Linked DNA regions of Arabidopsis thaliana. The protein of the gene in region 4 binds, or shares a complex with, the protein of the main gene of each other region. Each region holds a gene or a part of one and is shown on either strand. Other genes may lie near its edges.

Region 1 (8,205 bases), about 10 Mb from region 4:
TTGGGTTTTTACACAAGATGACCAAAGAAGACCCGTTAATTAACTGACATATTTTCGACATTGTTTATATGGTTTTTGTACACAAAATATGACCTATAAGCCCCTACACAGTCTATCCAGTCTAAAGTAATATATAAGATACACAGTAACGTGTGTCAGAGACGAGAGACATAATATCTCTCATATAGATTCGATTCAACTTAACTCTGTTTTTCTTTTTTCCGATATTCAGTTCCAGTCTCCGTTCAAAGCTCTGTGGTTCTGGTCGATAAATCCAAATAAGTTTCGCGAATTACCGGCAGTTTCTCTCAATCGTTTAAAGATCTAGTTCTAAATCGATTAGGGTGTGGGTTTGCGGTAGAGGAAAAAAATGGTTCTGAAATGATGGGGTGAGAAGAATACGGCGGAGATGTGGTGGTTGAAGATTACGCAATGGTAGTTTTTGTTCAGATTCAAATTGGTTAACAATTAAATTACCTAGTTAACTAAAACTTTATCTAGAGGTAGTGATAATAATAATGTTATTGGATGAAATTCATATTTTGTACGTTATAGTAACTCGTTAATTTTTTATTATGATATAATAAATGAGTTAAGATGGTAAATATCTATATATATCACATCAATTATAACTTATCGCGATACAAAATGACTTACCATGACATAATTATAAACTTATTGATATAAATATTTGTTATCATGTTAACCTAATAAATATTACCGAGATATTTGTTATCATGTTATCCTGATAATACGTTATCTGCTAACTATTCTGATGCATGAATTTTTTTATAGAGATTTTGAGCATTAAATGCTTTGATTTTATGTCAGAGATTGTGTCGGGATAGGGTTATTATCGTCATTATTTCGTGTGTCAGAAGAGAGAGATTTGATTATGAGATTTTCGTTCGCAAATCTTTAATTATATCATCTTCTATGATTTTATTTTTTGTTTACCCATAAATATTTAAGTTTACATTGAGAAAAATAAAATAAATGACCAAAATACTCATATTCTCATGCAAATTCCATTACTACTAGTTTTTTCTAGGGATTTACTCAGATAATAATTAGGTTGTTATTACTAGATAGCCAAATTCTGAGATTAAATAAAGATATTAATCATAAGTTTAGTTTTTGTTAGAAAAGAACTATGGATTCACACGTTAGACGGTGTATATTGACGAAAATATCTTTATCAATTTCTAATATTACAATAAGACTTCCGATAGATTTGAGAAGAGGAAAATTCAATTGTAAAAATACAGTGAAGAAAAATATGTAATTTTCATGATATTTGAAGAAATACATATGACTCCTTACATAACGTGAAATATTGACAGATATGTATAATTATTACATTAAAACATAGTTATTTTATGAAATACTAATGATATATTGGATAAAAGACATGTAATTTGTTTATATAACATGAAATCTTGACAAAAATATGAATCTGTTCCAAAAAAAAAATATGAGATTTTGTTAGATAGCTTGACAAAAATTTACAAGTCAATGTAAAGACTTAAGAGCATGTTTTGTCTTTGAAATACATGCGTTTTTTAAATCATATCTAATCTTATATGTCATGCCGACGAGTGATGGAGAAAATCCGGTGAAAGAGGAAAAAAAGAATAGATAGGAAAAAAAGAAAAATAATAAAAGGGTAAGATGGACCAAAGATCTTATAAAAACCCTGTCGTTGGTTAATTGTATAAATTCTCTAACAATTATATAAATTCAAGACCTGAAAGATTCATTTTTAAGCGCAAATGAAAACAATTGGAATTTCACATATACCACAAAAAGGCAAAAGACAAATTTCATTTTTCGAAAAGATCACAAGGAGAATCGAAAAACACACTCCCTATCCCTTACATACTTAATAGAAAACCAACAACAGACCAACTTCTTATGTAACTTTTGGTTTTCTCCACAATGGGAAGTTAGCAGATTTGGCAGCGAGTCTTTAAAACTTGTTGCATCAACCACGGCCGCGACCTGCTCCTGTTTTTCATAACATATTAGAGTTTTAGCTTAAATCCCATTGTGGCAAGACACAGATATTTGAAGTATTCTAGTAAAATCAGAGTTTTGTGACAAGCTTTGTTTGTGTATTTTTTACCTCTGTTGCCACCCATCTTCCCCATTGAAGTTCCTCTGCCTCTGCCTCTGGCTCCTCCATCATCCACACCACGTCCTCTTCCACGTCCAACACCTGGTGGTTTTCTATCTGCACATATTCAACCATCGTTATTAACACCTGAAGTATTCTCAATGTCTACTCTGGCAAAATATTAACACCTCAGAAAACTCGAAGCATATCTCAGTAAAGGTACAATATAGACATGAGTAATACTATACCTGTGCGTGTCTTCTCCTCCTGTACTTTATCAATCACCTGAAGAGAGAAGAAATCAATTTAAGTCAGTTAACTCAATCTAGGTTGCAGCAGTAAGAACATAAATAGAAACAGCATATGACTGTCCTTCTAGATGAAGATATCGTTTATGGTATGTGAATATAATTTGATTTTAGAGGGAATGAAATAAAGTAGAAACAATAGAGAAAAATCGCATCAGAAACACAACACAGCAAAGTCCATAAAAGTGGGTCAACATTCTGGTCAGCAATAACCATTCCCTGTGATATCGTCTAAGACGCACTACAACAAGAGGCACACCATCTGCTGAACAAGGTTCCACAGAAAAATGCCTCTTGGAGCACATATCTGATTTGGCTAAGCATCATCATTCCAGAGAGAGGGGAACAAAGAAAAAACTAGATCAAGCAAGAGATATATACACACACACACAAAAAAAAATTACCTCATCCGGAACTCGAAGGTACTTGATTGTGTTACCACGGATATAACATTCCGGCATCCTCCAAAATCTATCTCCGTCCTAGAGTAATCAAGCAGCAAAATATATGAGTGTCAGCTACACAAAATTTCATCACGAAGTCTAAACAAAGTATATTTGTATCAACATATGAAAACATAAGATAACCTTTGATGTACATATGACTTCACGCAGATGGATGTTCATCCAAGTATCACAATTCACCAAATGCCCATTGTATGTCTCTCCATTCTTAAGCTCCACGAGCTACCAAAACAAAACAAGATTCAAAATTACAGTAAAAGGAAGTTCCTTTAGATCCCTAATGCAATGCTCACTTAAACTCAGCTTCACTTCATATATAACAAAATTGTAATCAAGGGTCGAAATTTTACTCACCATAGGATGCCCTTGAGCAGTTTTAAGCAGCGATAGAGGAAGCTATAAAATCAAAACAACAGCTTTCAGTTAATAAAAATTGAAACTTTAACGCAAACAAGAAAGAAGGAAAAAAACCCTAAGTTTGTCTAGTAACTTACCATCTTCTTAAATCAGAAGATTTAGAGATCCGTTAAGAACCTGATGACATCAGAGAAGTATAACATTAAACCCTTTATAAGATGCGGAAGAAGCAATAGCGAAAACGGAACAAAAACCCTAATTCAGCTACTAAAAAAAATCTGAGAGAAAAGGGAGAAACCTTGTAATATACTCCGAAGATCGGCAAGAAGGTGAACGATTCAAATATGAAAGAGATCGAAGAATAGAGAGGCGTCGAAACTTCGAAATCTGTTTTTTGCTTTTTTCTGCTTCTCGGGTTTTGACAGTGAGAGGGATGGATTTCTAATGAATCGGTGGTCTTTTAGTTTTAGGTCAATGGGAACTTTTTTGAGTTTTGCACTCGAGTCCCTTAACTTTATAATATTATCTGTTTTAGTATATATTGTTAAACATATCAATCTAGCCAACTAATCCGATGTCGTCCAGCGGTTAGGATATCTGGCTTTCACCCAGGAGACCCGGGTTCGATTCCCGGCATCGGAGCTTTTTGTTTTAATTTTTCGTATACTTTGTCTACACCAAAGTGTATTTGTAGCCGTTGGCAATGGTTACCTGGTGGAAAATAACTAATCATTAATATGTTATTGATGCTCTCGAAATTAATTAATTTACATCACTAAGGCGAACTGTGTGAATCAAACAAAGCCAAGTGATATGTCAAATCTAATCCTAAACTTTTACAATTAAGCTTAAAGCCTCAGCAATGTGATTGTTAAAGCTATTTTGTAACCGACAATACTTCAGACCTCTCTAAATTATCAACCAACTCGAACGTTATTGAACCTCGACCAGCTCCAGTAACTAAATCTTAATCAAAGTTTCAATTACACACAACTGTGTAATTGTGAATCTGTAACTGGTTTGTTTCAGCACATGAAAAGCTGATAGTCAGGTTCGTGAGCTCCGACATTCAAGTAATTGACATCAACTGCGGTTGTTCCCAAATCATCTGGTGGAGAAGGATAAGACATAAAGTTTCAATAGAGCATAAATCTTTAAGAGACTTTGAGTGTATGTATGTGTAATCAAATGTGATCTACAATGAAGCAAATTGATGAGTGAGATGAGAGAAGGTATAGAGTTGTTCAAACCTTCGTATATTGTTCTTACAAACTTAACATAGTCAGGGATGAGATCTCGGTATATGATTCCATCCGGATGCGCATCAAGAACCACAAGTACACCTACAGATCAATCAAAGGAAAGGAAGATGTCAAACGTAACACTACAATTGTTTTCCACGATACTAATGAAAGACAAGATCATCTTGAAACTATGAAGTGTTTAGATCTTTTCTATTACTCTCAGAGATGAAAACAGATATTATACCTGGAGCAACCCAATCTGGAGAAGAGTTGCTAGGTAATGGTGCAAGCCAAAGGATATTCCTCAAGTTCATTGAATCATTGTATTTCACGTCAGATCCTAACAAAAAGGAGATACAATCATAATACTGAAGATTTAAGGGATTTCTGTGACCATTTCTATGTTTCAAGAGATTGCAAGAAAACTCACAGTCACACGGACAAGAACCCATATTACCTCTCTGGCAATATCCCATGTTGTAAGGAAACACTTTCTTGTCATAGGCTGGATACTCTTTAGCATGAAACCTACCATCACCAATCAGATACTAGTCAACAACAGTACTCAAAACCTAGCTCAACCATGTAACTTTCTATAAATATTCCCCAAAACTCATTACTTACGTTCAACCTTTCTAAAAACACTGCAACAATTGTGTTAAGAATCAGAAACCATTCTTCCTTTATTGATAACTGTTGGTTACATTCAAGAACACAAGAACAAACCCTAGAGAGTTCTCTTCACTCTCAAAGCCTAAATGCTCCCAATTAACCAAATGGTCTAGACCCCCTTATATCTACTATTCTAGTGCCTATCAAAGCGTCTCGATTCTTACACAACGAAGTCAGTAACAGAACATGATCATCATTACTATTTCAAGAGTCCTAGTGTGTGTTGAGGAGACAAAGGAGACTTACAATATTCCAAGGCGTCCAGATTCTGAGGCAAGGAATAAATGGCCATGGAACAAATCATATCTACTCAATGAAACATTCAATCCAACACTAGGTCCCCTAGATTCAATTAGATGAAACAAGAACTCGAAATATGAGTTCACTTCCTGTTCATTAACATCATCAATCAGATCACTACACCATAAGATCAAACAGTTCACAAAATAGCTTCTTTTTTTACCTCTGCTATAAAATGACGACCATAAGGAGTTCTAGTAAGTTGACATTTATCTTTTCTTGATCGTTCAACATCAGGAACCTATAAAACCAAATTTTAACCAATTCAATCTAACGAACAATAAACCAAATCAAACCATTAAATTGAAGACGAACCGGGATCATTTTCGGATTGAGAGTTCGCTGAATTGAACCGGGATCACCACCGGAGTCAACAGCGAGACGAGCAAGCTCTAGAACCGATTCCGGTGGCCACCAGATTAGAGAATTCTCCTCTTCAAACTTGCTCCGTCTCTCAACGGCGTCAATTTTTCCGGAACAGAGTCCAGTACGAGGCGAGCATCGTCCAAATTCGGGTTTAGGTTTATCCGATTTGAATGGGACGAGGAATTTAAGACACGATTTGATCTCTCGAGAGACGATTGGGTTGAGGCACGACGCGGCGGAGGGAGGTCCGAGAACGGAGAGTAGATCGTCGCCGGTGGCTTTCGGAAATGACGACGGAGAATGAGAAGCGGAGTGGAGTTTGAAGGATGAAGCTGCTGCGATGGAGAAGGAGATGAAAATGGTGAAACGAAGAGGAACGTACGAATTCACCATTGTCGTGTCCTTCCTCTGAATTTTTGGTGAATCCACATTATCTTTGTAGAAATTGGAGAATGGAGAAGAGAGACTGTAGAGTCACGTAAACTCCATTGGAGAATTATTAGAAGTGTTTAATTAACGAAGCCATTAATTAGCGACAACGACAAACATTGTGGCACACAATTTGTGGGCAACCTTAAAACCCATTAAGAAGCCCGTTAAGAAATAGTTGGGCCACTTCCATCAAACGACGATCTTGATCATCCATCAATTTTAACATCCCACATCACTTATACATTGCCATTTCACAAATCACAATATTCAATTTTGTTTCTATGGACTTTATGGTTTATGTGGAAAGCATGGAATGATAAAGTGTTTAAGAGACTCTACGAGGAACCCACTAATATTATAAATTATGCTCAAAGTTAACAATTATAAAGGGAGGAGACACAATTAGAGGCTCTTGAGGAAACAAAATGACTCCACAACCTCATAACTTATGTTCTTGAACATTGGATGTCAGTTTGATGGATCATGGAAGGCGTCAGACCACACGACTGGGTTTGGATGGATTTGTTTGCAAGGCGATACATTTTTTATTCTATAGGGTCCAAGTGTCATCGGAGGAGTGTAAGTAATGTGTATTGCATATATTTCCAAAGGAGATTACAAGCATATATATACATGAATCAGTAGAAAACTCTAGGTTAAGTCTCTTATAGAAAGAGAGATAGAAAAGGAAATAAGATATACAGGGAATGATGATATGATCATATCATATCCTTGACACGCCCCCTCAAGATGGAGGGACTATGGTCACACCAATCTTGTTTCTTAGCTCGAGAAACCGACTGCGTGGTAATGGCTTTGTAAGTGCATATGCAAGCTGATCTTTCGTGTTGACATGAGAGACGCGGAGAAGACCGTTTTGAACTTGACCCCGGATGAAGTGATAGTCGATGGCAATATGTTTCATTCGAGATTGAAACACAAGATTAGCACAAAGAAACGTAGATCTGACATTGTCGCAATAGATGACTGGTGACACTGGTAGTATGATTCCAAATTCAGTGAGTAGGCTACAAATCCAACGAATTTCTGATGATGTGTTTGCAACCGCTCTGTATTCGGCTTCTGTGGATGATCTTGCAACACCATTTTGTTTCTTTGCAGACCAAGAGATAGGACTTTTACCAAAGTAGACGATATATGCATTAGTGGAGACGTAATTATGTGAGTCTCCTCCCTAGTTCGAGTTTGAGAATGCGTGTAAAGTCAAAAGATTCTTAGCAAAAAAGAAAAAAAGAAATGATTACCAAATGAAAAAGGTATATACTGTTATATTACCAAAAATTTATAACAAAATATAGCACTAAAAAAATGAATTTGTGATCTATTTTGTGGTATATTTTGTTATATTGCCAAAAGTATACACCAAATTTTATAATAATTTTTTTTATGGTCTATTCTATATATTATTTTTTGTTTATCAATAATAAATAAATAATATTTTTTGTAGAGAAGACATCTGTTTTCTTTTTGCGTCAAAATTGGATTAAAATAGAGTCAAAATCGATTAATTTTGGTCAACATTATGGATAAGTCAAACCGGATTAAATATAATCGGTTAACTGATCGGTTCAATTGGAGGCATAGTTTAAGAACAAATCCGAAAGTACATATAATTTTATTGAGATTAAAAGTTTTTATTCGTGGTTTTTTCAGAGACAAAAAATTTAGGGTGAAATATTAAGATTGCAACTAGTATATGACTGAAAATTCAGCCAACCCATGCGAATAAAGATTGAAGTTTTGACTACGGACAATATCAGAATAATTTGTCATGGAGGTCATAATATTTTGTTAAAAATACATCAATTTTGTTTTAAATAATCACAAGTCTTAATGATATATTATACATGCACTTATTTATTTTAAAAATAAATCACAGTTTCGTGTTGTATCAAAGACTTGTTTTTACGTAAAACAATTTAATA
Region 2 (7,456 bases), on a different chromosome or scaffold from region 4:
ATCTTTATTTATTCTGTCCTAAAAAGTGATACAAAAAAATAAGTAAAGAAAAATCTAAAACCCTTTCTCACGATTTATTTGCCGCATCCCTAAAACCTCTCAAATTTCTCCGGCGTGATTCACTTTCTCCGGTAAACAGCGTTCGTCATTTTCAGATTCCTCCGTCTACTGTAAGTTATACTTCGTTATTTTCTTCAATATCTTCTTCGAATTCCTCATATTTCTTAAAATCAAGGCTTTGCATTTCGATTGCTTGCGTCGCTTCATTTTTCAACTCTATTCGAGATTTCGAGAATTGTCGTCATTTGAGAGTTTTCTAGGGTAAATATTGTGATTTTTCTCATACCGATTTCGATTTATCGTCTGAGTTTTGTTTCGGTTCGTAGATTTTGATAGCGATTTTTCCTCTTTCAAATCTATCAGGAGTGTTCTCTTCTGGGAGATGTTCAGGTGATTCATCTTTGCACAACAAGGGATTTGACAAAATGGCGTCAAGAGCGATCGTTAGGAGAAAGAATATCATTTCCGATTACTTGAATGTCTATGCTCGCTCTATTCAGAGCTTTCAGTACATTGGAAACTCCTCTCAGACGGTTCATTCACATGCTTACCACTCTGGTATTAACCGTCCTCCCGTGGAAACTAAACCTGTGACTGAACACAAGTCCTTTACAAGAAGAGATGGTCTTCTATTGCTTTCTAGAAATGGATATTTCAATCGTAGCTTTCATGGTTTTCACTCCTCGGGATTTGGTTATGGAAGTTCAGAAGTTGGTCCTTCTCTGGGGATGAGATACATGAGCCTATCCATTCGTAATGCTACTACAGTTGCAGCTAAGAAACCGGAAGAAGAGGATAAAAAGGTTGATGAGCTTGCTAAGAACAGGAAAGAAGCATCTCCTGAGGAATGTGATCAAGCTGTTGAAAGTCTGAGCAGTGTTAAAGCAAAGGCGAAAGCTAAACGTCTTCAAGAATCCAAAAAGGTTGCTCGATCGATAGTACAGAGGGCATGGGCAATTGTTCTTAAGATAGGACCTGCTATAAAAGCTGTTGCCTCCATGAACAGGTTTGGCTTTATCCTCACATTTTGCGTTCTTAATCGCCAGGCTTTATGCATGGATTTTTATGTGTACTGATTTTCTGTTTTCTACAGGGCGGATTGGGCAAAAAAGCTCACTCACTGGAAACATGAGTTTGTATCAACATTGAAACATTATTGGCTGGGGACCAAATTACTCTGGGCAGACACTAGAATCAGTTCAAGATTGCTGCTCAAGTTGGCTGGTGGAAAAAGTCTCTCCAGAAGAGAAAGGCAACAGCTAACTCGAACGACAGCTGATATCTTTAGATTAGTGCCATTTGCAGTGTTCATCCTTGTGCCGTTTATGGAGTTTTTGCTCCCAGTTTTCTTGAAGCTCTTCCCTAATATGTTACCATCAACTTTCCAGGACAAGATGAAAGAAGAGGTATGTTTCAACAGAGTGTAGGCTTTACTCATTCGTTTACTACCTTCTTGCCTTCTTGGTCTCTTTCCGATGTTGCTCTTTTGTTAATGCACAGGAAGCTTTGAAAAGGAAATTACTTGCAAGGATAGAATATGCTAAGTTTCTTCAGGAAACCGCCAGAGAGATGGCTAAGGAAGTTAAACATTCAAGAACTGGAGAAGTAAAGCAAACCGCTGAAGACCTGGATGAGTTTCTAGACAAGGTAAACAGTCATAATTTTGTGTTGGCTCAAATACTTCCTCTTCTTTCGGTTTTTGGATTTGAATTTCATTCTCCTTGTTCTTAAAATCATGCCTTGCAGGTTCGAAGAGGTCAAATAGTCCATAATGATGAACTTTTGGGCTTTGCAAAGCTTTTCAACGATGAGCTTACTTTGGATAACATTAGCAGGTTAGTCGTTTCTTTTTTGTTTGATCTCAGAGATGTCTTGTGCTCTTAGAGGTTCATGTTCCGACAGTAATATACCTCTTTGTTTTTCAAATATAGGCCTCGCTTGGTTAGCATGTGCAAATATATGGGTATTAGCCCATATGGAACAGATGCTTATCTGCGGTATATGCTCAGAAAAAGACTGAGGAGGTAAGATTCTTCCATATCTCGTTGTTATTAGAATTGTTAGTTTTTACCTTAATTTGATGTTTAATTTCTACTTCTTTTCACTGCAGCATTAAGGAAGATGATAAACTGATTAGAGCTGAGGGTGTGGATTCCCTTTCAGAAGCTGAGTTACGCGAAGATTGCAGGGAACGGGGAATGCTGGGACTGGTTTCAGTTGAAGAGATGAGGCAACAGGTTTCTCCTCTTTACTCCTATGATTCTTGATTCTTTGTTATTTCTTTATTAAACTCCATCAGGAGAAGATAACTCTACAGCTATTAATGTTTTAGTATTGAAACAATTTTGTAGCTTCGCGATTGGATGGATTTGTCACTTAATCATTCTGTCCCCTCTTCGTTATTGATCCTCTCTAGGTTGGTTCCAGTACTCTTTGCTGTCATTTTTTTGTTCTTCGATCAGTTTTATTGCAAAGAAATTTCTAAGAGCAATTTATATTCAGGGCATTCACGGTTGCTGGAAGAGTTAAAGCAGAGGATGCTGTCCGAGCTACTCTTTCTTCTCTACCTGACGAGGTTGTGGATACTGTTGGTATTACTTCTCTGCCATCTGAAGACCCTGTTTCTGAGCGAAGACGGAAATTAGAGTACCTTGAGATGCAAGAAGAACTGATCAAGGTCTTGATACACCACTTGACTGTATTGGATTATGCTTGCTTGAGGAAGTTAGAGAAACCGAATTTTGGTTGCTCCAGATTTTACATTTTGTATTTATTATATTTGCAGGAAGAAGAAGAGAAAGAAGAAGAAGAGCTTACAAGGATTAAGGATGTTAAAGGTGGTGACGAGGATAAGGCACTGCAAGAGATGACCATACCAACAGCCAGCGAAGCACAAGAACAGGCCAGAGCTAGAGTTCTTGAACAACAAGATGATCTTTGCAAACTTAGCCGCGCCTTGGGCGTTTTGGCTTCCGCTTCTGTAAGAAAAATGAGTCTATGGTTATCAACAATGGGTATGCAGAGCAGTTTATTGGATATTTATTTGATACTCTGTTTGCTTTTGATATAAACAGTCGGTGTGTAGAGAGCGCGAAGAATTCCTGAGATTGGTCAAGAAAGAGGTACGCTGTCCACCAATGCTTGATCAGCACTTTGTGTCGTAGATTGAAAGACTTTGTTTTTCTGTTTCTCCAGGTGGAGTTCTATAACACAATGGTCGAGAGAGAAGATGTAGATGGTGAAAAAGCTGCAATGAAGGCATACAAAGCAGCTAGAGTAGATATTGACCAAGCTGATGAAGTTGCTGAAGCAGACGAGGTTTCCTCTGCACTAATGGAGAAGGTAAGAAGATTTTAAATCGGTTTTTAAGACTATTAAAGTCCCATGAGATTTGTTTAAGAGGCTTACTCTTCGGTCATACTTTTTAAGGTTGATGGTCTGATACAAAACCTAGAGAAGGAAATTGATGATGTGGATATCAAAATTGGCAAAGGCTGGCAGCTTCTTGACAGGTATATAGACTCCATTTTTCTGTTTGAGTGTTCTGTTTCCGAGACTTAGAATCTAAAGTGATCACATCTGAATGAACACAGAGATCGAGATGGAAAAGTCACACCTGATGAAGTTGCGGCTGCTGCAATGTACCTGAAAGACACACTCGCTAACGACGGCCTTCAACAACTAATCAGTAGTCTCTCCAAAGATAAAGGTAAAGAACAGAGCGATCCTCTCCTTCTTGAGCTCTTATCTCCCTGAAGTTGATCTTTTTTATAAATCTGTTATTCAACAGAGGGAAGAATTATGGTGGAAGACATTGTAAGGTTGGGGAGATTGGGAAGCAAGCCAGAAGAAAATGCAACGGAAGAAGAATCAAGCTGAAGGAAATAATACTATGATTTTAAGACACACATAGACTTTTTAATACTAGTGAAGAGAGTTTTATTGAGAGAAGCTCTACTTCATGTTTTGCTGCTTAGACATAAGCAGGCTACTTACATATACAAGCGGCTAAGAATACGAGACCTTTTGCTAGTAATGTGAAAAGAGGTTGAAGATTAAAAATAACATTACGCCAAGAATGATATCTTGAGCGTTTTATTTCAATGGAAACTCCTGATTCAAATGTGTCGATGGCTATGAATATGATAATCTGATGATTGACTGGTTATACTAGTTTGACATGTGTGTTTCCAGTGATCCCTAAATGACATAATTCGATTACTAAACTTTAATGATCTTCCTCGTTTCGATCTGTTGGTCACCCAAACTCAATTTTGTTTGCTTGTATGATTGTATCAAGCCATAAATTAATAATTTTTCTTCTTTATCTGGGGTCACATGGAAGAGTATCATATTACTAAGAAAAAAGTGATGTCTGTATCCCAAAAATCTACTGAAGAACATAGGATGACAATCTTGGTACATGTCTACTACTCTTTTAATATGAGGTAGAAGAAGACAACAAAAATGGCAGCCATAACATGACCACTGTTGTTGTTGTTGATGATCATGATGGGCCTAGGCTCCGTCTGCTACAGTCATGTTTACTGTACTGATGTAAAGAACTGCATCCAAAGAAACCACACTTAAAAAGAAAGATATACAAAGAAGAAGATTGAGAGAAGGATGAGTGTGAGAGATTTTAGTTACCGTTGTTTCCACGGATAAAGGCGTCACCATATTTGTTCTTGAGCTGCCCGTTTACATACTCCTCCGTCTGCTCCATTGCTATGTTCATATATCCATCAAGACAAGTAAGAGTGCCTGTGAAAAGAGTAATAAAAACTTGATCAAGAACTCAACATTAAGCTTGAACAGAACATAGACAAAACTGACTCGGGCACGAAAGGAAAGAAGTCAACAAGAATGATATAAGTAGCCTTGATAATGAGAGAAACTGACTTAAATATTCAAATATCTCAGTCAACTATTGTAACCTTATTGCAGGCAGAAAGGAACATGTTCTTAAGAAAACCATTGAACAATGTTCACAAGGAAACCTTAGAAAATGTAAGAAAAGCTTCACATATTGACTTTAAAAGAATCATTTAAAAGCTGAAGACATAACATGATAATTAAGTTACTTAAGTGGGCTTAATACAAGCAACTCTTTAATTCCCTTAACATAGACAAAAGAACTAGTCCTAAGTCAAAGCTTCTAACCTAAAGTGCAGCAGAGATAGAGAACTTGCAAAACACATAAGAACATCTAACGAGAGAGAGAGGCACCTCGATAATCAACACCAGAATTGAGCTTGACAACAACGGGTCTCCCACGGATGGATTTGAGGAAATCTGCAGGTGTCTTTGTCGTTCCAGAAACTTTCTCTTCAACTCCACTCATCTTTTAAGCTCGATCCTTTACGTAACTGCAGAAACAATTGAGATCTGAAATCAGTTTGGTCGCTCTTCGAACTACAAAAACTCAAAAGGTAAAAACCATTCAGAGTCAATCTCTCGAATCACAAAAAGACTCCGAAACCTAAAAACCTAAACCTTCAACCCAATAGAAGCGAATTCGATTGAAAATGTAAAGAGAAATCGAAACTTTAACAAGGATTAAAGGAACTGAAAGAAGAACTCCTTACCTGAGACCTACTCGAGTACGAGACACAGAGAGAAAGAGAGAGCGAAGAAATAACGAATCGGTCCTAAGGGCTTTTATTATTTATTTCCAAAACTATATACTATATGATTATTGTTATTTCGATTCGATCGAGTTTTCATATTAAAACTAATAATAATTGAACATTAGTCCTTATAGATTTTATTATTTTACTTTGGAGGGTGAAATTAAATCTCCAGTGCGTTTCGGTTCGACCTCACAGTTTCTTCTGTTCTCGTCTCTCTCTCGTTTGCTTTCTCTACAGATCCCTAAATCCTCTCCCTTTGGACCGTTAATCCCCCAAACCCTAGATTTTACAAACAATTCCTCTCAATCTCTCTAAATTCTCTTTCTCCTGCAAGGAATTTGCGGACTGTTTCTTGTGGGGTAAATCTTCTATTAGCTATGGGGAAGAATCAAGCTTACAAGGCTATGCAGAGATCTAGGGTTGGTTCCAGCTCCGCCCAGCCGGATGAGGTTGAAGACGGAATGGTTTGTACCTTTTCATACTCTCATCTTCTTCATTGCAAATTGATTCTGTTTTTTTTTACTTCTCCAAACAAAATTCCAATTTGGTTGATTTACTTATGGTTTTGTTGATCTTTTGTGTTGTTGGGTTATCGAGCTGCATTTAGAATTAAGCCTACAAGAGATCCTTTATGAGTCCCAATTTTGGGGGAAGAACTTGTATCTAATACCTGCTAGGTCTTGTAGACGATATCAAGTCCATGTTTAAATGTGATTTCGTAAAAGTGTAGCATCAGAGTTTGTGTTACAGTGATTCAAGAGTCTTTTTATTGTTGTTGTAAGCTGTGAACACAAAGAAGCATTTGGATTAGTCAAACTTTGATATTTTGCATTGGTACCGGAACATTTCTGATGAGGATTGTCTCAGGTGGATGGTTCATTTCATACACCAGAGTGGCATGCGGCTCGTTTGGCTAGCCTCAAGACTACACATACTATTACCTGGGAAGAGTATAAGCAGAAGCAAAAGGTAATCTTTTTGCCTTTTTAATACTTAAGTTCTTCTGTATGTTGTATGGAACGGTGTTCCTTGTTATAATGCCATAGAAGATAATCAATTGACCATTGATGATTTAGTGTTCATAAGATTGCTATTATTGTCGTCAATTTAGAAGCTTTATTCCAACATATCATTTTCTTTTCCTCTGCTGTTTATCATCTTCAGCCACAGATACGCAGTCTTTGTGTGTTTATATAAAAATGAGTGTGTCTTCCTTCTACATTACATCTATCCCTATCTCGCGGTTTTCAAGTAACTCTAGTCATGCTCATTTTTTAAACATTTTTATTATCTGCAATATCAGTTTTTTACTACTACTTGCAGCAGTCTCTCTGTATTGTGAGTATGGAACATTAGGAAATGTTTAACATTATATCTTTCTTTCGTGTAACATGTGTAGGAAGAAGAATTGAAAAAGGGAGAACTTGAAGCAGATACCGATAAACTGATGCGTGAGTATAGAGCTCAGCTGGATGCAGAAAGGTCGTTGAAACTCTCCAAAGGAAGGAACTATTCTAGTGATAAGTCACGAAAAGGTAAACATAATCCACTTAACTTAACATGACATCTAAACCTTCTTTCTGAGGACGTTATTAACTGGTCGCCAATGGTTCAATGACCTCGCAGATAAGAAAGACAGAGATTCAAAGAAGAAGAAAAGCAAAAAGAGAAAGGTGCCTTCTAAAAGTTTAGCTTATATCAGATAGTGTGAGGTTTTCTAGCTTATGCTAACATGAACCATGATCGGTTGTGTTATGAATTTG
Region 3 (7,650 bases), on a different chromosome or scaffold from region 4:
TAATATGGGAGATGAATGTGGAATCTCGACAAGGGGCTCGCCTTTGTTGGAATCACGGAAACCTTTTGATTGGAACTTGCTAGCTTCGGCTTTCGGTACACAGATCACGCAATTTATCTCCTTCATGACTTCAGTAAGAGCAAGAAGAAGTGATGTGTTTCAAAGGAGAGACTTTTTGAAACCTGAAAATATTGTTTGGTATGCAAATGACCAAACAACTCCAAAGTGGGAAGATCCTGCTTCTAAGTTTTTGGCATTGGAGATCAAATCAGAGTCAGAGGAAGAGGAAACTGCGTCATTGGCTGAGCCAAATGAGCCAAAGAGCAATGATCTGTTCATCGGATTCAATGCGAGTGATCATCCTGAGAGTGTAGTCTTACCTTCACTTCCCGATGGAAGCAAATGGAGAAGATTGGTCGACACAGCTCTTCCTTTCCCGGGGTTTTTCTCTGTCGAAGGAGAAACCGTTGTAGCAGAAGAACCGTTGCAGCAACTGGTTGTGTATGAGATGAAGCCGTACAGTTGTACCCTTTTTGAAACCATCAATACTACCGCTTAGAACTCAAGTTATGATCTTTGTATATGTTACTGTTTTGTTACATTTCCAGTAAGAATATATTCAGTTAAATCAATGATTTCCACAATATCTTATATATATATAACATCACTTAAGCCTTTTGCTTGTATCCAAAGCTTGATACTGTATCTCCTCAAATCAGTGATTATTATTCGTTCTGATACGCGTATGCCTTTTATGGATTCAAACGAGTATGTATATGGAAAGATGATTTTCTTCAAGATTGATATAATCTTTATTTATTTTGTATAGATAGGATAAGATATGGATTGCTTAGGGTTTATAATCTTAAGCAAATTCTATAAGTAAAACCCAAAAAAGTTCTTCAAGTTATTCTCTGTAGCTATATTTTTTCTTTGAAAGCAGCAGGAACGTGATCTGAAAAATGAACGATGGTTGCTGCTCAAAGTGTCAGGTTAAAGCAACGAAGAAGAAGAAATCGAAGAAAAACGAAGGTGAGTTGTTTAACCTATTTGAAGATTTCTTACTTTTATCTTCACAAATCTTAAAGTTTTTGCCTTTATGATGCACAGATGAGCCTGATGAAGAGGATGTGAAACAAAAACAGAAAGTTTCAAAGAATGAGAATCCGAAAAAAGATTCCAATGGGGAGAAAGGATCAGATGAGAAGGATAAGAAGAATAAGAACGTCCTCAGATGGCCACAAGACTCAAGTACAAAGAAAGAGAAGGGTGATGGTAAAAACTTGTCAAGCGAGGAAAATGGTGGTAAAAACTTGCCAAGCGAGAAAAATGGTGTGAACCCGCCGCCGCCTTGTTACACCGCTCAACCGATGATGTACCATGGTGGACACAATCCTTTACACCGGTGGCCCATATCCGCAGCCTCGAGAAGCCATTATCCCCCGTTTTCGATGGGGGCAATGCATGGACCATATGGTGGTTGTGGACCTTGTGGTGGTCCAATTGATCCATACCAATCCATGCCTCGACCCAGAATGTTCGATGGTGTTCACATTTCACAATATCCGCCTATGGCTGCAGCATATCCGTATATGGCTGCAGCTGGTCCTTTCCCCTATTGGCAAACCAGACCGTACATGGATGCAAATCCTATGAAGCGTTACACTACCTATGCAGAAAATTACTCCTATTTTTATTCATGAGTCTATGTTTTTCCTCTGTTTGCTTCATCTCAGAAATAAGAAACTAAATTAATGACAAGAGTTAAGGTCCTATTGCTGCTATGCAAACAAGAACTCATATTACTTTATATAAGTTCCTTCTTACTGAGTCTATATGTTTTTCCTCTGCTTGCTTCATCTAAGAAAGGGAAAAACTTAAGTAGTGACAGCCTGACAAGAGTGAAGGTGTTTCTAAGTAGGCTTTAATAAGCTTTTCATTTGAACGAGGAAAAGAAATTAAATTATCCATTGTTAATAAAATGGAACAAGATTCATGGCCATACCATTGGCTCTACATCAGGGAAATATTCATTATAAAGCCATTACGCCGAATGAAAAGTATTCAAGTTTTGGAGATACAAAGATATTTCAGAATCAGCCACCCCTAGCTTCTCTTCTAGCTGCGTCGTGAAGCAAATCAACATCGACTCCATCTTTAGGTAACTGCACGTACCTTACCACAGATCCTCTGATGAAACAGTTTCTCACTGAAAGCTACACAGAACAAACACACAAATCCGTCAGCTAAAAACATCTTCGGGAGGATTCTAGCGAAATTGTACTATTTGACAAGGTTTCTAAAGTGTGACACTGACAAGATAAAGAAATACAGTGCCAAAGATATAACAATATAAACGCCATAAAACCTAAATGCATTGAAATTGGTCATGCAAACATATTGCAAATCTTTTGTAATCCTGAGTAGACTTGACAAATTGCAGTACAAAAGCAGCAATCTCAATCAAATATGTGAACCAGAACCACTAATCACTTCAAATCATCCCTTTGCGTCTGTAAATCTAATCAATATCACGTTAGAGCTTCTCAAGCTTGGTCACAGTAAATGAAAGCAAGGAAAAAGAAAAGAGTGAAGGCTTAAACACATTTGCAAGAGCCAAGGATTAAGCTTTCAATCAGTTCATAAGTGATATTTTACAATACGAGACAAAGAAGTATAGCAAGAAACTAGCGAGTGAGATCAATTCCAGTATAATGTCAAACACTTAAGAGCACTTCAAGCACACACAACAAAGAAAATATTGCCTATGTGAACAAAAAAAAAACAATAGGCTGCTCCAATAAACCCTAAATTCCCAATTCTTAGAGAAATCGCTTAAAAGAAAGAAAATTTACCATGTGAGGGTACTTGTCCTGGTCAACAACCCTAGTGTTCTCGAGCTTGATATTCAGATACTGATCAACTGAGTGAAGAGTTCCTCTTATGGCTAAATCATTCTTCAGCTCAACCGTCACTTCTTGTCCAACCAAATCCTTGAAGTAAGAAAAGAACAACTGCACCAGAGAACAAACACAATCAAAACCCATCACGAGAAACCCTAAATCATCATCGAAAACCATAAACTCGAAATCTCCAAGAACCCTAGAACCATTGGCTAAAAAAGAGTAAACCCATGAATAATTACGAAGAAAGAAGAAACCTTTTCTAGGTCAAACAAAACAACTGCCAACAATCAAGTTCATGAAGATGAAGAAAGCATTCAAATTTACCATTTTTGTTTCCTGCTGATTTCTACCTCTGCTCGCAATTCAACAAAGAAGCTGAAAAAGCTTTGCGGGATTTGAGGACTTTAGAACTTCTCTCTCTCGAGTAAAGAATGTATGTACCCTAATGATCTTTGGGTTAATTTCGAGAATATAAGAAACCAAAGGTATATTTATGTAATTATTGAAAAGATTGGGTATGTTCTTGGTAATTTAAGTAATAAGTGCCTCAAAGGGTAAATATTTAAAAACTCAAAGTGTGTTTTGGTCACCAGCCAAAACTGAATAAAGAAAAGATTTACACAAATCTTATAATATCTGACGCATATATAGGCGAGATTGCTGACGATAAGCTTTTTCGTTTTGTTTCCATGGTTTTGTGACGAAGAAGAGAAAAAAAAATAAGAAGTCAGTTTTTTCTCAATGGCTTCTCATAGCTATTCAACACTTAGGTTTAGTCTCCTTCAAGAGCTAAGAAGCAACGAGATCATCAAGGTCAGTTTTTTACTTTCTCTGTTTTAAAACACTTGGGTTTAGAATCTCTCGTTGAATTCTTGTCCTGGTTCTGTCTTCTCCTTGTTTGGTTCTTATGTCTATGAATGATTCAGACAAGCCGGGCTTATCTGGTGAATCCTGGAGGAAGAAAATATGAGATATTACCGGAGAGCTCCTTTAACCTGAAATCACAACTCTTGGAGCCATTGAAACCTTTTTCTTCTTTTAGTAAGTCTAACCACTTTTTGGAGTTTGATTCAACCATGATGAAGCATAGACTCATGGATGTTCATGGTATGTGACTTTGATCAAATTTCAGTTGAATTCACCAAATTGTAATCCCTTTTTTCGACTGACATGAACTGTGGTTAACAGAAACTGGACCAGACCCTGTGTGTTTAAGCTTGGGGATCACTCAGCAGTATGCAAGAAAAGAGGAGGTGTTAGAGTTCCTTTTGTCTAGATCAGAAGAAGAACTCAAAGAAGAAGGATTCGATTTGTCTCTCCTATCTGAATTGATGGGTCTAGATGCTTTAAGATCAAGTTCTCAGCAACCATATGCAAAGCCGTTATTGGATCTCATGGTGGATGCTAACATTCTGTTCTCAAGTAGCAGAGCTGAATTGAATGATTTGGTCTCTACGGCAGCTGAGTTTCATAGATTAAGGAACTCAACAAGATGGAGAAAGCTCTCACGGCTTGTCCCGCAGTTTCAGCGGTAGTTAATTCTTCACTGCAAGTTTGATTCATACCTATGAGTCTCATCCTTTTGGGTTTAACATTAAGTTTTTGCTCTCCTCTCATTCTGCAGATTCGACAGTGAAGTACCAATAGACACTCTGCAGCTACCCGAGGACGCAGTTACACTAGCTCCTCCAAAGAGGTATCTAATATCATCAACTAGTTTTTGGTACTTTTGCATCTTTAAAAAACGTTTCTTTCGATTTCCAACAGTCCGAAGAAAACCAGGCTCAAGCCTTCACCAAAGAAACAAAATCCGAAGATAAGAGATAAGGAATATGACCTCTACGAACGAAACCGTCTTCATGCGTGTGAGAGCCTTCTCTCTCTGATGATAGGCAATGAACAACATAGAAAAACCACAATGCTATCTCTAAAGAAATCACGTGGAGAACTCTTCGAGCTTTTGACTCAGTGTTCAATTGGCTTTGCTGGCACTGGTATGGCTGTGCTCTTCTTTCTCGTTTGTAATGTTGCTTCCAGGCAGGTACCCTTTTGCGCAAACCAATTCTTCGAGGGTGCAATGAGTTTGAGTTTGGTATTGCTCTCGTGGTCTGTGAGTAGACTCAGGGAAGCCCTTGTTAATTTCAATAGGAAAACAATCAACGAAGAAGAAGTCTCAAATAAAGTGGAAAGAAGAATCAAAGAAGTTTACTTCAGAGCTGCCACAGTTATTGCCATGGTTGCACTTAGGTTTGGTTGAATGTTGGAATGCTGATGATTTGGAGTCTAGTTTCTAACTCCATTCTTTGGCTTGCTTAAAGGTTAATTTGTCAATGTTAGGTTGTAGAATAAAGTGAAGATATCACACTGGGAGAAGCTTTTCTTTTAAAACACTAATCTCTCGTTTATTTGATATAAACTCTCAAAGTAGTAGAAATCTCATGAGAGATGAATCTTTAGATACTAGAGAACAGTTGTGTTTTTTCGTTTGAAGAACTTTTAAATCTGCTATAGCGACTTAGCTCATCACTTTTGATACCACACCGGCTCCAACTGTTCTACCTCCTTCCCTTAGAGCAAATCTTTGACCCGTTAAAATCGCAAAATAGAAACAACTTGGATTACTCAAGAAACAACTTGCTTTCTCGCCTTGAAATGGTGATTGGGGTTTAAGTGAGGGTTAATTACTCACGCGAGGGTTTCTCTTGGATCCATCCAGATCCTTTTCTATCCTTTTCTGTGTTCTTCTTACCAGTAAATTCTCAAAGGACGTCGATTGTGGTTTTACACTAATAGTTTCACATCGATTCGTTGCATTATTAAAATCCAATCATAAAATTTCTATTTATACATGCACACATACGGTACATGTTCAATTGAAACATTTTCCCTAACTAGACATGCCAATAAATAATAAGTTGGTTTGGTCCAAAAAATAAAATAATAAGTAAAATTCTACAAAACAAATGGTACAGTTTTGTTAATAACTAGATATTCATCCGGGTACACAACGTATTTATATTTTTGTTAACAAGTTAAAGATTTTATTTTAGTTAATAGTATTTATAAATGATAAACATATTAAGAAGTACACAACGAGCCTATATTTTTCTCAAAAATTTTTATTTTTTTGTTTTAAAGATGATTTATAGATATATGCTATTGCTTTTTTTTATGTATGATACATCTCGAAATGATTTATATAACTAAATTTCTGAAATTTTAAGTTATTTTTTGTATTAATATTGTAAATTTTGTTTAATTTTAGAATTTTACCATAGTATATCATTCCGTATTAATATTGATCCAAACCGTCTCACCATATATCCTAGTTCTGTGAAATTAAACATCATTTTGTCATTTTCTTATAAAGTTCAAATCTATATAATATTTGAAACTTCAAAAAAGTTTTAAATATATTGTATTATATCGTCCCGTATTAATATATTTTTAAATATATATATTATATAAAACTTCATAAGAGTTTTAAAATTATAAATATTAAAACGTTTTAAGAAGTTTTAATTTTAAAAGTTTTACAATTTGTAATATTTAACTTTTTTGGTTCTTCACAAAGGACAGAAATTGAGATTAATTTTGACACAATTAAAGCTCCGAATTCGCAGGGGTCAGTTGATTGATATACTCAAAATAACTGGAGAGAATGACTATCGCAAGATGAATATATTCAAACTTTCCTCAAACCACCTTCTCAAGTAAAATTTAAAAACATATTTTCAAATCAATGTAAAATAGAAACGTTGAAGAGAAAAACAACTGAAGAATGGGGGCAAAGCGCCAGAAACTTGTAAAAACAAGTAAAAGGATTGGCAAAAGTAAGAAAGCACACCACTTTAAAACTAACATTAAGCTTTGGATGATGATGATTCTTCTTCGTCATCTTCATCAATGTCCCAACTTAAATCTTCATCTTCCTCTGCAGCACTCAGACGTTTACGCAGCTCAGCTCTGTTTGGACTACCACCAGACCGACTCGTTTCCTTACCATCTATGCTACTCATATCCTCGATCTCGTCCCATCCCAAATCCTCTTCAGATGGTTGTTGAGTTGATGAAGAAGCAGCCACATCTGGTTTAGCTGAGTCTTGGGATGGAGCAGCCTCATCAGATTTTGGTTTGACAGAATCTTGGATTGGAGCCTCATCAGATGTTGGTTTGACAGAATCTTGGATTGGAGCCTCATCAGACGCAGGAGGAGCAGCATCAACAAATGATTTTTCTTCTGGAACTTCCTCACTATCAGTCTCCTTCTTTTCCTCAGAATCTTTATCTGTCTTCAAACCAACATTGCTCACTTCAGTCACTGAATCTGCACTTGTCACTTCATCTTGCGTGCTCACTTTAGCCACTGAATATGTACTTTCCACTTCATCTTTCACAGTTTCACTCACATCTCCACCACCCATACCATCATTCCCTTCAAGTTTCAACCTTGAAACATCTTTGGTAGCTTCAACAACTTTCTCGCTGCTCTCCTCTTCATCATCAATATCCCAGCTCAATTCTTCTTCATCATCCAGAGAGATGGCTCGTTTCACAAGATTAGCCCTTAAATCCTCAGCTTGCTTGAGCTTGTTAACCCTATAGAAATACCTAAACCAGAAGGTCTCGTGATCAACCATACTCGGAACGACCCTTTTATACACTCCTTTCATATCACCATTTTCCTCCAACAATTTCTCCATCTCCTCAGCTTTTCCATCCAGAGAAAACGCAGATTCCCACT
Region 4 (7,126 bases):
CTTACTAAACAAAACAACTTAAATCTATATCCGATATGAATTCTTGTGGGTAAAGAATACAAATCATGTATATTATCTGGATATCCAAATTATTCACTAAAATTTTATAAATTATCTCAAATTCTTCTAAATTTGTAAATTACTCAAATTATCAAAATCACTAATACCCAAAATGAGAAGAAACATTTATTGCTTAAAAGTTAGATTCTTCCCACGTGGCCCGGTTTAGTTATAGTTGCCGACGATTAATTTCCGGTCACATTTTTAACGGCGTGAGTTTGTATGTGGCGTAAAACATGTCAAAATGCGATATTTTCGTAACGACGTTAACTTATACAAATACGACAAGACAAGGTTTTGGCAACGAGGCCAATCAGACCAGACTTGTGAGAACTGAGAACGATCGATCAAAAATCTCTCCCACGATAAAAATGAGGACCCTGAAGCTCATTGTACTTAACGTCTTCCCCTTTCCAGAAAAATCAACCAAACCCATTTCAGTTTCCCCGGAAAGTTTTTGTCTTTCAATCACCATTAGAATTCAGCTGCAACACAAGTGTTTGCAACAGAGAGAATCATGGAGAGAGCTATGGAAAGACAAAAGATATTGCTTCGTCATCTCAATCCAGTTTCTTCTTCTAATTCTTCTCTTAAACATGAACCTTCTCTTCTGTCTGTAAGTTTAGTTGTCTTAATCCGTGAGTCTTAATTAGACATTGAAATTGTTTGTGGAAGCTGATGATCTTTAACTCTGTTTTATTATGTGACTCACTTGTGTTTTTGTTAATTTTAGCCTGTGAATTGTGTTTCTGAAGTTTCCCCAATGGCTGCTTTTGGAGATGACATTGTGATTGTAGCGTAAGTATACTCATTGAGTTTGCTTCACTTTCACTTTCTTTAGTTTTCTTTGTTTCTTGATTCTTCTTCTTCTTCAGGGCATATCGTACCGCCATTTGCAAAGCGAGACGTGGAGGTTTCAAAGACACTCTTCCTGATGATCTTCTTGCTTCTGTTCTTAAGGTAAGTCATCAATTAAACCTTGTGCATGCATGGAGTAGTAGTATCAATGATTTCTTATGTTTCATGGTTTGTTCTGATTAGGCTGTAGTGGAAAGAACATCTTTGGATCCAAGTGAAGTTGGTGATATCGTTGTTGGTACCGTGATAGCGCCTGGTTCTCAGAGAGCAATGGAGTGTAGAGTTGCAGCTTATTTTGCTGGTTTTCCTGGTACTAAATCTCATTCAAGAATCAAGATAAACTTAATATCTCACAAGTTGTTGATATGTTTCTTCATCCTTCTCTTTTACGAGCTAGACTCCGTGCCAGTTAGAACTGTCAATAGACAATGCTCATCAGGACTACAAGCAGTTGCTGATGTTGCTGCTTCCATTAGAGCTGGTTATTACGACATTGGTAAGATGCTGCTGCATCAGTTTTTTGTAGTCTCTAGCTGCTTGTATAGGCCATGGGATTGATTCTCTCAACTTTGTGAATTGCATAGGTATTGGTGCTGGAGTGGAATCAATGTCAACTGATCATATTCCTGGAGGCGGCTTTCATGGCTCTAATCCAAGAGTAAGCTATCACAATGAGTGTATAAATTTACTCAACAAGAAGAGTTTTGTGATGATCTTGTAAACTCTACATGGGAATAGGCACAGGATTTCCCAAAAGCCCGTGATTGTTTGCTTCCAATGGGAATTACTTCTGAAAACGTTGCAGAAAGGTTCGGTGTCACAAGAGAAGAGCAAGATATGGCTGCGGTTAGTTAGTTATTCTCTTCACTTTTTTCCTCTCTAGTTCATATAAGTACTGATTCAGTAATAATCAGGTGGAGTCTCACAAACGCGCTGCAGCTGCAATCGCGTCTGGTAAACTCAAGGATGAAATCATTCCTGTTGCTACTAAGGTAAAACAAGAACCTCCCAAACTTCCTTTAAAGCCCTTTTGGTAGAGCTTTCTCAGTAAATGATATTGTTCTTGACAGATTGTGGACCCTGAGACTAAAGCAGAGAAGGCAATCGTCGTATCTGTTGATGACGGTGTACGTCCAAACTCAAACATGGCAGATTTGGCAAAGCTGAAGACTGTCTTTAAACAGAACGGTTCCACCACAGCTGGTTAGAAACAACTCTCTTAACTATCACTGGCATAAGTGAGATCATAGATTGAAGCATTTAAGTATATGTGTTTTGTGTAGGCAATGCTAGTCAGATCAGTGATGGTGCTGGAGCAGTACTGCTAATGAAGAGAAGTTTGGCTATGAAGAAGGGACTTCCCATTCTTGGAGTATTCAGGTAAAATGAATATACAACATTTTGCCAGTTCAAGAAACCGAGCAAATCTGATTCCGGAACAATGCAGGAGTTTTGCTGTTACTGGTGTGGAACCATCTGTAATGGGTATTGGTCCAGCTGTTGCCATTCCCGCTGCAACTAAGCTCGCAGGGCTCAACGTCAGCGATATTGATCTATTCGAGATCAATGAGGTAACAAAATATTTCACATTGGTTTTTTTCCTGTTTCGGAATAATACATACATATAAATCTTTATTGTTGCATTGTTAAACAGGCATTTGCATCTCAGTATGTGTACTCTTGCAAGAAGTTAGAGCTGGATATGGAAAAGGTCAATGTTAATGGAGGAGCCATTGCTATTGGCCATCCCCTGGGTGCTACAGGTTACTACTTACCAAGCTTGTCGTAACTAAATAAAATGCAACATTTGTTACAGGCTAATAGAGTTCTTTTCTATATGTTCAGGAGCTCGATGTGTTGCGACATTGTTGCACGAGATGAAGCGGAGAGGAAAAGATTGCCGCTTTGGAGTAATCTCAATGTGCATAGGTATATATATAAGATTTTTTTTCAGATTGAATTGGATCAATGATTACCTATGTTAATGGTATATGTAAAATGCGAACGTCACAGGCACTGGAATGGGAGCTGCAGCTGTTTTTGAGAGGGGAGACTCTGTTGATAACTTGTCCAACGCTCGTGTGGCTAACGGGGATAGTCATTAGAACATCGAAGAGAGCTTGAATAAGTAGAAGTAATGATGCATTGAGTCTAATAAATATGATGCTTTAGCTCTTTCACATTGCTGAACAATGAAAACTTTTGTCATTCTGAGTTTAAAATCAACTACTTTTCTCTGAACAAAGTGTTAAATCTAAAACCAAAAGTTACATCCTTCCTCACACAAGTCTGAAAACACCAATCAAATCTCGCAAATCTCATTCTCCATCTTCGGGAGACCCACCTGGCACCAGCTGCATCACAAACATTTTCAACACCAGTTTCTTAGCAATTTGACTATTCAAATGACCAACTGTTTATATCAAGATACTTGAAAATTCATCACAAGGAAGTTTATACAACGTATGGCTATGAGTAACCACAAGTGTTTTTTTACTTACAATGGCGATGTTGTTGCCATTGAGTAGAATCTGATCAAGCTTTGTGACCCGTCTTCCTTCTGCCGTAATCTCACTACACAACGATGCTTAGATAAATTAGTAACACACTCTAGTTACAATTCAATCAAGAATTTGTTACAATCAAAACTTGAATCTATGAGATCCTAACTCCAAAGCAACACGGGTTTAAGCATCAATTAACTAATCCTCACACAACCACAAACAACTCAAGTCACCGAAACCACATATGACCCCGCTGAAATAGACTCTATGCATACACAATAAATGTCATTAATCAGCAAATGAATGAACTGTGATGGACATTCACAAATCAGTATTGAGATCAATTACCCAAAAACAAAATCCAAAAGGCTAAGTTCTGCATAATCACATCCATGGTTCAATGTCTATGATTCACCTCCTAAAGTGTAATAGATCAAGCAACATTCCAATTAAACAAGATATGAAGCAATAATCGAAACCCTAAAATCAGACTTACTATTCGGTGACATCTTCAAGAACCATGTTGACATAAACATCGAATCCTTTGAGAATACCAACGAGCTCCTTATCTCCTTTCATTATCACCCAAATCTTAGACCCTATACACCTATCGATTAGCTCTGCACAAACAAACCAAATCGCTCAAAAATTGAAAACCAAAAAATCGCAGATCTAGTTCGATTTTCTTACATATAAGAAGGTGGAAAGTGAGAGATGTGAAGAAAAAATTGCATACCTGAAGGAAGAAGCTGTGAAGGATTGTTCGCCATGACGAAGAACAGTGAGGCAAGTGAAGGGTTTTTGAATTTTCTCTGATTTTTCTTGCTCCGAAGCTTTTTCTGATTTTTCGATTTTTAGGGTATTAATGTTTTACTTTTAGGAAATTTACAAGAGAACCCTCAAACTATCTTTTTGTTTCAAGATTGACTTTTAACTATGGAAAACTTAATATATAAACCTTCAATCTAATTAGAATATTAAGGATAAATAATCACGTCTCAAATCCCTACATTACTAGTACGGAAGTACCTTTCAAATAGTAATATTGGCTTTTGTAAGATATTATGTTACAATGTCATTGGAAAAAACTGTAACCACCTAATTCACTTTACTTTAGTTATAAGGTCAATTTACTTTCGAATTTAATTATGCTAATCTTGAATCATGGATCCATTATACGGATCTATGAAATTTTCTTGTTTCTTCCAAACATAGGTCTACTGAGATTTTATTATTTCTTTGAACGATTGATCTGTAGTAGAGTTATCAAAATGGACGAGTGGCCCGTGTCCAACGCCTAATGGACCGGGCATGGACAAGCCCATTATGAAGCAGGCATTAATGGACATGGGCGTTAACGGACATGGGCATCAGCGGACTGGACGTGATGGACATGGGCGGCCCAATGGTCAAAAAATATTAGGTTTAAGTGTTCGGGCAAAAATAAATTTGGGGAAAAAACATTTCCCCGACGCTTATTTGGCGATTTCTTCTTTCCGGCGATTTCTCCGGCGAGTTCCTTCAACATCTCAACTCCATCACATCATGGATCCTCCTGAGATTCCTAATCCAGTTCAAGTAAGCAAATTCTCGTCATTTTTACTCAATTCGATCTGGGTTTTTGATTACTCAATTCGAAATGATTTTTTGTTACTGTTTTTTGCTTATTGAGAGTGATTTTGACATGGGTCTCTTTCGATTTCTGTTACTATTGTTTGATATAGTGTTCATTGTCTGCATTATGCATAGTATGAACTATGAAGCTTGGTCCTTTGACACCGTGTATTCATGAAACTGCAAATATCAAAAGCTTAGCTCACTAATATGAGTTACTTAAACAGAAAAAAGAATTGGTAGTAAGCACAAAATGGAATTCTACACATCTAATGCTCTCTAGAGCGATTATTTACAAAGAAACATTCAAGCATCTTGCTGAAGCAAATACTATTGTGTTAAAATTTGGTTTTGTTATGCCTATTGGACAACCCATTTGGACATGGACATTAATGGGCACGGGCGTTAATGGACATGTGCCTTAGTGGACATGAACACTATTTGTCCAATATCGAAATGGACATTATTGGACTGGGCTAATGGACATGGACAGCCCGCTGTGACAGCTCTAATCTGTAGCAATCCATGTGCAAAGCTACATCCAAGATTAGCAAAATTAATTGTTAAATACACATTACCAGAAGAATTGAAAAGAAAGTATATAGTTAAGATACCATTTGTATCATTAGATATTCAATCTCGTTGTTGTAGTCATATACTTGGAAGCTTAGAGGATCGAAAAACAAGGTGCAACACATGTTAATGAGGATAGGAACTTATCAAAGATCCTTGCAAGAAGGTATGGAAGTCGTGCTTTACATTATTTCTATAAAGAACAATGTCCATATCTTCTCAGCTACGAGGTATCCGAGAGTAAGGCGAATAAGAAAACATGTTTCAACCAAATCAAGAAACATTTTTCCAGTCAAATTCAAATCAAGAACTCTGTTTTCAGCCAAATCTAAATCATGATCATGTTTTTGTTTTGTGTAGAGAAGACGTTAGGCGTAAGAACACACAAAAACATTAGCATGAAATTATGTGATGTAGTCAGGACCGGCTCAAACATTTTGTAGATCCAGTGCTATTATGTAATCATATCATGTTTTTTTTTTTTTGGACCCTAGACCATATGTCCTAGCACCTTAAGCACATGTGCTAAGCCGGCACTAGATGTAGTTGTAATATTTTATATAAAAAATGTAACATTTTTTTAATCTTCTATGCTTTTTAGTTAACTCAAAATAATCTAACATACCCGTAATTTTTGAAAACAAAAAAAGAATTGTTCAGCATACTTTTGAATGAGTAACCAAAACTCATGCATGATATCACATATGTTTAATAGTGGGCCATATAGACTGCTTCACAAACACCACTTTTAAGTCTTTAGCAAGCTTTCTCCGTTATTATCTTCACGATTGTGTACCCAAAATTGATATGATTCATAAAATGTTGTTGACTTGTTGAGTTCATAAATTCAACCCAAAAGTAAATGAAGAACAATGGACAACAAAAAGAAAGTAATTGTGGAAGATAATTGGTTAAATTAATTCAAATGTCGGTTCTTGCCTTCTTGGTATAGAGGGATTATTCAACTAGTTAGGATCGATTTCAAAATTTATGGAGATAGAAACAATGACAGTTTATATATGTATGTTCTCAAGACAATATTCTATTAAGACCGGCTTTGCACCTAAACAGAATAAATAGATGTAATACGAAATAAATCGAACGAGTGATTTATATGCAAGCATGAACCCATACTCTAAGGAATGAATTAATCAATGGTTCTTATTTTTAATCATGTTAGTTAGATGCAAACCAAATCAATCTTGAATAATGCTGATAAACCGTCTTAATTCATGCGATGTCTCCACTAGTCTCGGATTTCTATAAAATATTCAATATTGACTTATAGCTAAGTCTCAAGTCCGTAGAATTATTGTATATTTTTGTATTCCCCGAAAACACTATTTGCCTTATTGCTTTGTGGTCCAAAATGTTTATCAGTGAGCGGCAAGTCTTGTAAACTAGTGAATAATGCCTCGCAAATTGTCCAGATTCATTGTGTTTTGGCTTATTATTGTATATGCCACAAAACGACTGAGAGTGACGATGATTCGCTACGTTTTTTTTTCTATAATAAA

What was found.
Region 1: SAD1 (region 4) and emb1644 share a complex: the UniProt entries of both Arabidopsis thaliana proteins name them as parts of the heptameric LSM1-LSM7 complex.
Region 2: SAD1 (region 4) and LSM6A share a complex: the UniProt entries of both Arabidopsis thaliana proteins name them as parts of the heptameric LSM1-LSM7 complex.
Region 3: SAD1 (region 4) and LSM2 share a complex: the UniProt entries of both Arabidopsis thaliana proteins name them as parts of the heptameric LSM1-LSM7 complex.

What each region holds. Positions count from the first base shown.
Region 1 is NC_003076.8:9,811,084-9,819,288, reverse strand, and holds emb1644 (Small nuclear ribonucleoprotein family protein), read right to left. Parts: upstream 3,790-8,205; 5' UTR 3,544-3,789; intron 3,423-3,543; 5' UTR 3,386-3,422; coding exon 3,383-3,385; intron 3,285-3,382; coding exon 3,243-3,284; intron 3,111-3,242; coding exon 3,012-3,110; intron 2,907-3,011; coding exon 2,829-2,906; intron 2,760-2,828; exon of another isoform or gene 2,622-2,759; intron 2,402-2,621; coding exon 2,365-2,401; intron 2,234-2,364; coding exon 2,126-2,233; intron 2,008-2,125; coding exon 1,985-2,007; 3' UTR 1,671-1,984; downstream 1-1,670. Other genes in the region: AT5G27710 (T-box protein), read right to left, coding at 4,271-4,353, 4,496-4,588, 4,734-4,829, 4,947-5,017, 5,408-5,550, 5,625-5,702, 5,777-6,220. UniProt on the Arabidopsis thaliana protein: Component of LSM protein complexes, which are involved in RNA processing. Component of the cytoplasmic LSM1-LSM7 complex which is involved in mRNA degradation by promoting decapping and leading to accurate 5'-3' mRNA decay.
Region 2 is NC_003074.8:22,094,789-22,102,244, reverse strand, and holds LSM6A (Small nuclear ribonucleoprotein family protein), read right to left. Parts: upstream 5,777-7,456; 5' UTR 5,649-5,776; exon of another isoform or gene 5,430-5,648; 5' UTR 5,405-5,429; coding exon 5,290-5,404; intron 4,825-5,289; coding exon 4,711-4,824; intron 4,626-4,710; coding exon 4,579-4,625; 3' UTR 4,279-4,578; downstream 1-4,278. Other genes in the region: LETM1 (LETM1-like protein), read left to right, coding at 486-1,066, 1,154-1,466, 1,561-1,707, 1,807-1,895, 1,992-2,084, 2,171-2,297, 2,412-2,476, 2,563-2,737 and 6 more; AT3G59800 (stress response protein), read left to right, coding at 6,071-6,157, 6,561-6,662, 7,093-7,228, 7,320-7,366. UniProt on the Arabidopsis thaliana protein: Component of LSM protein complexes, which are involved in RNA processing. Component of the cytoplasmic LSM1-LSM7 complex which is involved in mRNA degradation by promoting decapping and leading to accurate 5'-3' mRNA decay.
Region 3 is NC_003070.9:816,065-823,714, forward strand, and holds LSM2 (Small nuclear ribonucleoprotein family protein), read right to left. Parts: upstream 3,500-7,650; 5' UTR 3,234-3,499; coding exon 3,231-3,233; intron 3,015-3,230; coding exon 2,856-3,014; intron 2,217-2,855; coding exon 2,097-2,216; 3' UTR 1,870-2,096; downstream 1-1,869. Other genes in the region: DBE1 (debranching enzyme 1), read left to right, coding at 1-559; AT1G03320 (uncharacterized protein), read left to right, coding at 963-1,032, 1,111-1,703; AT1G03340 (uncharacterized protein), read left to right, coding at 3,648-3,719, 3,833-4,013, 4,095-4,437, 4,531-4,602, 4,674-5,163; AT1G03350 (BSD domain-containing protein), read right to left, coding at 6,770-7,650. UniProt on the Arabidopsis thaliana protein: Component of LSM protein complexes, which are involved in RNA processing. Component of the cytoplasmic LSM1-LSM7 complex which is involved in mRNA degradation by promoting decapping and leading to accurate 5'-3' mRNA decay.
Region 4 is NC_003076.8:19,810,473-19,817,598, reverse strand, and holds SAD1 (Small nuclear ribonucleoprotein family protein), read right to left. Parts: upstream 4,254-7,126; 5' UTR 4,193-4,253; coding exon 4,159-4,192; intron 4,043-4,158; coding exon 3,919-4,042; intron 3,493-3,918; coding exon 3,420-3,492; intron 3,273-3,419; coding exon 3,237-3,272; 3' UTR 3,045-3,236; downstream 1-3,044. Other genes in the region: KAT5 (peroxisomal 3-keto-acyl-CoA thiolase 2), read left to right, coding at 578-676, 794-858, 936-1,020, 1,102-1,228, 1,316-1,414, 1,503-1,576, 1,657-1,764, 1,833-1,910 and 6 more; AT5G48860 (uncharacterized protein), read left to right, coding at 4,734-5,000, 5,688-5,948. UniProt on the Arabidopsis thaliana protein: Component of LSM protein complexes, which are involved in RNA processing. Component of the cytoplasmic LSM1-LSM7 complex which is involved in mRNA degradation by promoting decapping and leading to accurate 5'-3' mRNA decay.